Linked DNA regions of Astyanax mexicanus. The protein of the gene in region 1 interacts with the protein of each later gene in a biochemical or structural test. Links are inferred from orthologs where the notes say so. Each region holds a gene or a part of one and is shown on either strand. Other genes may lie near its edges.

Region 1 (3,757 bases):
CTGTATATGATTACCCTAAGCCACCACTGGGTTAATTTTTTACCCAGTTTTACACATATTATTGAATCTGTGTTCTGTAAAGAAAACAGAAGGACAAATCTATGAAATAAACGTTTATACAAATTAATATAGTAAAAAAAAAAAAACTAAAACCTTTTTGCTAAAATCTGCATCAAAAGTTTGGGCAAAATGTCTATAAATAACAATACCCACATATAACATTACTCACATTGCTTTAATGTTTATGCCAGATTATGTTTCTTTCTCTTTACAGTATTAAAATATCAGAAAAGGTTATGTAAAAATTTGTCAGTGCTCACAGCTTTTAAATATTTTTTTAGCTAGCACATTTTCTGTAAATATGTATATTTTGTCAAGACTATTTATATCATGATTAAAAATCTAAATTAGTTGCATATGTATTTTTATCTATATTTGTCATTATTCTCTTTAAATGTGTGTTTTTATATCAAGAGCTTTAGATTTATTATTTTAATTTTATCTCTATATTTATGTATATATCAGTGTATATTTGTTAATATTGTGTGTATTAGTGTATTTTTTCTGTTAATATACTCTGTGAATCTGTATATTTTACTGTATATAATTTTGTTAATATTTTCTGTAAATCTGTATGTTTTAGTGTACAATATTTTTGTTAATATTCTTTGTAAATCTGTATATTTTACTGTATAACATTTTTTATAATATTCTCTGTATTTGTGTATATATTAGTTTATATTATTTATGTAATATCTGGATATTTTCATGTATATTATAGTGTATATTTAAGTGTGTATTTTACTGTATATTTAGTTGTATATTTTACTGTATATTTAAGTGTATATTCTACTGTGCATGTAAGTGTATATTTTACTGTATATTTAGATGTATATTTTACTGTATATTTAAGTGTATGTTTTACTGTATATATTTTACAAGATATTGTTTTTGTTAATATATTTTCCCTGTTTTTTTTTTTTTTTCCAGTTTTGTTTTTTTAGTCTGTGGATCTCGCTCTCGGGTTCGCGACCGTGTCACGTGATCGTCGTGAACGCGCATCGCTTCATAAACAACATGGAGGGTCTGAGGCAGAGAGAGGGGCTCATAAAAGCGGATTAGAGGAGCGGGGGAGCGAGCTGTCAGCCGGGGGTCGGGTTTGTATGAGTACAGGGAGCGGTACCGCAGGTGTCCGGGAGTAACAGTGGACGCGGAGAGCTGAGAGACTGCAGAGTGACGGTAGGCCCGTTAGCACGGGGCTAACACTCACATTATAAACAGATAAAGACAGCGGCGGCGGAGGGGGGCATATAAACACTGTGTCACAGCGGTGAACAGTGAACTGGGGGCTGTAAACACAGGTCACTAGCGGGGTGTGTGACAGTGGGCTGTGAGCTGACCTGTGTCCTGTCCAGTTTAAGTCTGTGGGGAATGTTTTCGTCCTTGGTTCCTTAATCGCCGGTTTCTTATTGGATCTGTCCCTTCCACCTTAAATGGTACGGCTGCTGTGTTCTTCTGAACGCCAGAATGTAACTCCTGGGCCATTTAAGGTGGAATAGACGATTCCAATAAGAAGCCAACGTTCAGGGTCAACATATTGTATGTATGTCTGCCCATGACACTGCCTGTGTGAAATGCTGATCATAGTCTAAACCAGTCCACCCTGCTCTCATTTCTTTCTCGAACTTCAGTTAGCTATTGTGATGTGTTGGCAGATGCAGGTGGAAGAAAAGAGAGCTATAGATTATCTGTATTTGAGGATTGAATGTTTTGTTTGTGTTAAGTGTGAATACTATACTGTTTTTTACACACCAGAGGAAAAATCCTGTGAATCCTGTCACGGAAGTTATGAAAGGAACATAAAGGCCATTGGATGTGGTAGTACAGTTTAAACATAGTAGTTAATGAGCTATATACATATATAAATATCTAACCATTATAAAGCTTAGTAATTATTAAAGAAAGACACATCTGATCAGTATTGACAGGTTTTACTCCAGGTTTTAGTATCATATCATATCAGATATAGGAAACAGTATGTCTGGTATAATATGTCAATTCAAATCATTGTGTTCTGTTTCATATTTCCCCAGGTGCTCGGTCTATGGGCTCTCAGTCCAGTTCTGGGATGTCCGGTCGGGGCTCCAGCGGCAACCCAGACCAGTCAGAACCAGAATCTAACCAGAATTCCAACCAGAGAGGCCGCCGGCAGCCCGAGAGGCAGGCAGACAGAGCATCAGCGTCCGAGGAGGACGTTGATTTAGCACAAGTACTGGCGTACCTACTGAGAAGGTGAAGTGGAGACCTGTTAATATAATTTTTGTATTATTTATACTACTATGCAGTTTGGTAATAATTTCAGTACTCTTAAGTGCTTTAAATACTTCATTGAGAAACAAGCGATACAGTGTTCTATTGAAATTCACATTCATAAGGTTTACTAATTCTCCTAGTTTCTTTTCTAAGTTAAATGTTTTGGAATATTTCATAATGACTAATACCATGATTTTTTTTTCTTTTTAAAGAATTTTTTTTGCTATTGTTATTTTAAGTAAAAAAAATTTTAATGTAAATGTTAATGTTGTCAATTAAAAAAAGGATTTGGTATTCAGTATACAGTTATTTAATCAATTTGTGTCCTAGACAGTAGCTGCAACGATTAGTCGTTATAATCGACAATGTCGATTATTTAAATTTGTCGACTACAACAGAACAGATTACATTATTAATCACTAAATGTCAGTACTCTCCATGTTTAAACAACTTCTGGACATTTAAATGCCTTTTAAATCTCATGTTTTCTGTTTTTTTAGAGATGGAGAACATGGCACAAATAATCGTTGATTAATCGACTAATCGAAATAATTATCATCTGATTAGTCCACTACCAAAATAATCATTAGTTGCAGCCCTACTAGACAGTCCGTAGTAATGTAGGTGTGTAATACAAATATGCATATATATATATATATATATATATATATATATATATATATATATATATATATATATATGTGTTTGTGTGTGTGTGTGTGTGTGTGTGTGTGTGTGTGTGTGTGTGTGTGTGTGTGTAGTGACATTTTCATGCTGAAGGGGATTTTTAATATGACCTTGTTTTTATGATTAACATGCTGATGCATGTCGAGATTAAACAGAGATATTGAGATAAATAGGTCCACTTTCATTTACTGTGTTCTGCCAGAGTATAATGAGAACCACTGATATAGACTTTATAGAAATGCACTGTGGTTCACTCCGAAAGATTGTTGCTTTGTCAGTCCACCAAAGCTTGAGGAATTTAAGTCTTAAAAGCTGGTTTGTGTGTTGTGGAGGGGTTGTAATGTGTGCTGTGTGTTTGCTTGTGGTGTAGGGGCCAGGTCAGACTGGTCCATGGGAGTGGAGCAACAGGACTGCAGCTCGTCCAGTCTGTCTCAGACTCTGATGAGGACAGTGATGGAGCCTGGGAGGGACGTCTGGGACACCGTTATGATCCTCCGGGTAAATATAAACAAATTGGTTGATGTATTTAATTGGTTTCTAGAGGGAAATGTATGTGAAACAGCAGCCAAGAAATAATCACCTTCAATACTCAATCCTTATTACTCACTGCTACACCTAATTACACACACTGCATGTCTTTTTGTTTTAGTGGACTCCCATCCGGATACTCAGGAAGTGGATCGCAGTGAGATCCGAACACAGATCCTGCTGGCCACTGCCTCCTCAAATCTGAAGGGGAAACACAGCTTTACACACA
Region 2 (3,757 bases), on another chromosome or scaffold:
AGCAAATATATATAGTTTAGGAATTTTAGGCGAGACTAGAGTGTAAATAAAAATGGCAACAGAATAATAAAGCATTTCACTCACTTTGGCACTTCTTTAATGTATCTGTCATAAGCGAGTGTGTTCTTTCCATAGTTGATCTGCTTTTGTCTCCTCATTAAAACAGACTCATCTGTCTCAAATTCTCCAGGTGCAGGAGAGTCCCTGGAATCTTTGGAGTCTGAACTGCACACAAAATGAAAAAAAAAAAAAAAAAGCATTAATACTAAACCCCTTCAATTTCACAATAGAAGAAAATCTTAGCAATATTAGCCATAACAAACCTTCCAGACGAGGTTTTTCTCTCTCTTTGTGTAAACTCTCCAGCCAGTATCCTTCGTCTGTAACTGAAACAACAAGAAATATTAAATTTACAGACAAGCACAGATCTGCTTGACATTAACTAAACCTGCTAAAGCCTGTAACAAAACACATAAATAAGTAAATTAAAAAAGAAAAGAGAAAAAGAAAGAGAACTGACCGCTGCATGTCACGTCGCACATTAGTGCGCATTTCATCAAACTCCACCTCATCTCCCCAGTCCCTTATCCTCGAGACAGGTCCCTCGCTTTCTGGAGTCGTGAAACTAGTGGTGGAGAATAAAAACATCATTATTTAACCTGCTACTGCTTTTTAGAACACAGAGAAAGACATTCAAAATTATGCCTAAAACAGGGTACTAATTTTTGACACCCCTGACCAAAACACATGCGCACACACACAAAAGGAATCATAACTTTATTCTAACAAAAACATAAATAAAATACAGAAATATCTTTACCTGTTAGGTCTGTGCGGTCTGTTGCCTTTTCTGTCAGTGTTATTAGTTAATTCAGCTTCTTTCTGTGATCCTCTCACGACTCCATCAGCTCCACGCTTCCGGCACTGCGACCATCTGGAAGACCCTTTGTTCCTGACAGAATCACACAGACACAGGGGGTTAAAAACAGAACTGAATCAGACAAAAACAAACAGAAAAAAACATTCAGAATACTTCTTCTTTCAGTTTATATGTCACCAAATATATTCAGAATCAAAGTTTAAAAGACTTTCTATAAAAATGTCACATAAGCATTTGCAAATTAAACCAGCTTTAAGTTTTAAACAATTCTAAACACATCAACGCTCTATTTAATGTTAAATTATTTAGTTTGTTTATTTATTTAGTGTGTTAGTCGTCAGGTAACGCCAGCTAATCTAGCAGCTTTATTTTTCTGGAACTCAGAACTCAAACTGAACAACAGCACTTTACCATTTCGCGCCAAAGCAGAAGAGACTCCAGCGCTCAAGCTTTTCTCCAGCCAATTCAGAATTAAATACTATTATTTACACTTAACATAATACTTGATTATATTAATAATAAAGTTCAGCTGTCGCTCAGTTAACTTGTCCGCTCGCAAATTTGCTAAGCCTAGGTTAGCTAGTTAAGTATGTTTAATATGACATTTAGTTAGTCTAGCTAAGTTAGTTATTTTAGTACAAAACAAAAAATATATAAAAATATATATAGTCAAATCACAAGCTTAATGACCGAACCAGCCAGCTGTTAGCTAGTTAATAAACTAGCATTGTAACTGTTTTATTAATGTAGTTAAATTAACAAGCTCACCATTAATAAACAAACACTCCAGCACAATGAACAATGCAGTTCAGCAGGGTTAAATAACTATCTATCTATATAACAACGAATCCAAATCAAGCTCTTCAAGGTTAACTAAAAATAAAAACTCTTGCACTAGTTAGTTAGTTAGTGTTAGGTTATGTTACTTAAAGTTTGTTACACAGCTTCAACATAAAAAATGAGGCACACTTAACGTTAAATAGCTTAGCAAGCTAACTTAACTAAATAACACAATCAGCAGCAAATTAATAAATCAATAAAAGTGTAAAGGCTGGTACCTAAATATTAAATAAAGTATAAATTTGCTAAAACAGCTCCAAAAACGAACAGCAGCTCTCAGATAGCCGGATAATAATCCCGCGGTTTCTGAAACTCGCGGGAGAAATGAAGCTAAGCTAACTAGCCTAGCCCAGTCCGGCTAACTCACACACAGATCCGGGTAAAGCGGAGATAAACACGGATTTATTGAACTTTAATCCCCACAAACTACATCTAATCAACCCTGAAACACATGTACCTGTTCTCCTCCGCAGCGCAGCTCTCCTCCTGTCTGTATCTGCGCGGGTCAGACATGATTTAAAGGGTTTAAAGCGGAGCTGCTGCTGCTGCTGCTGGATGATGATCTGGTGTTGCTCAGGGTTTGATAAACCGCGCCACAGTCCCGCAGCCCCGCCACACTACACCGCCTACACCCGACAAAATAAAAGTCCCCATTTTGGCGCCTCCTTTCTCTACCATAAATAATGGTGAATATATTGAATATTTTTGATGACCCTTTATTTTGATCACAATGATATACAAATATAGTTAACAAATATATACAAATATAGTAAATTTAATTATTATTTTAGGACATTTTTATATACACCATACTAAATTAACTTTTTTTTTCAAACTTTTGTTTACTCAGACTTAATTATTATAAAATATATATATATAAGAATAATTATTTCCACTTACTGACTAATTTTCGACAAAATAAAAATAAAAAATGTCATAAATCCATCGATATTTTGAAGCGTTTTAATTTTATTTGAATCCCACTTTTCTTTTTTTCTGTTGTTTAGTTTTTTTTTGTTTTAAAGTGCATGTGCTGTTGTGGACTGTTGTTGCTGTGTATTTGACCTATTATTGTGTATATTTCATGCTGTTGGATTGTATTGTTTATTGTTTGGATACAAAATGAATAATAATAATGAAAAAAAACAACAACAATGTGTTTTGGGTTGATAACTAGTGGATTTAAGTTACTACAAACTGTACATTTTGTGATTTGTAACCAGAATCTGTTTTACATGTTTTTTGTATGTTTTGTTTGGTTTCACTAATTATGAGAAGGGACTGAAAATATATATATATATATTTAAATGTAATCTAATTTGCATTTGTTTGTTCTTTTTCCTCCCTGGCTATATTGTTTTTTTGGTGTGTGAGTTAATCTTTGTTGTTTGGAGTTGTGAACCATTTTTTGGTTAAATGTATCTATTGCAAACTTTTTTAGGAATGACTTTTTTGTTTTTATTAGAACATTGAAGTCATTATTGAAACCTATGCCTTCAGTCTTACTTAGAAAATTGTTTTTACAAAGACCTAAAGCACATACTTTATAGTAACCTAGCTTAAAGGCCACTCTTGGAGGCTCATGAGTAAGAAATTATAAATATGTTTATAATATTTAATCTAGAACCCTGATATTTCTCCCGTTTTTCTTGTTCACACTAGGCAGGTAAATCCAGTCTGATCTGACAGCAGCTGCCGACTCTTTATTGCCATCCTTTAAAAACTGCTCAGGTCATTTAAATAGTTTTGCATTGCAAAGATCTCTATTGTTTAAACCATTTGCTCTTTATAGAAATGGAAATGTGACCCTTGTTTGTGCTTTTGTTAGACAAATAATAAAAGTCTTTGTTTTTTTTTATGACTTGAAGATTAGACCACAGTTTAAAACCTTCTCACAGAATCACAGACTGTGGCTATAATAATAATGAGAAATATATTTAATCCTTATTTATTAGGCCTTTTTTATTTGCATTATATACAAAATGACTTAAAAACCTCATGAGAAAAGAAAAAGTTAGAGTAAGAGTAAGAAAAAAA

What was found. The genes of interacting proteins can lie anywhere in the genome.
Region 2: the proteins of dcaf11 (region 1) and histone RNA hairpin-binding protein form a complex in vitro, tested with the Homo sapiens proteins (2 studies listed by BioGRID, with this or other methods). The link is inferred for Astyanax mexicanus from reciprocal best matches to the Homo sapiens genes DCAF11 and SLBP.

What each region holds. Positions count from the first base shown.
Region 1 is NC_064408.1:89,574,491-89,578,247, reverse strand, and holds the start of dcaf11 (DDB1- and CUL4-associated factor 11), read left to right. Parts: upstream 1-1,046; 5' UTR 1,047-1,239; intron 1,240-2,093; 5' UTR 2,094-2,104; coding exon 2,105-2,292; intron 2,293-3,370; coding exon 3,371-3,498; intron 3,499-3,649; coding exon 3,650-3,757. UniProt on the Homo sapiens protein: May function as a substrate receptor for CUL4-DDB1 E3 ubiquitin-protein ligase complex.
Region 2 is NC_064417.1:317,468-321,224, forward strand, and holds the start of histone RNA hairpin-binding protein, read right to left. Parts: upstream 2,334-3,757; 5' UTR 2,234-2,333; coding exon 2,178-2,233; intron 953-2,177; coding exon 821-952; intron 626-820; coding exon 521-625; intron 387-520; coding exon 324-386; intron 226-323; coding exon 85-225; intron 1-84. UniProt on the Homo sapiens protein: RNA-binding protein involved in the histone pre-mRNA processing.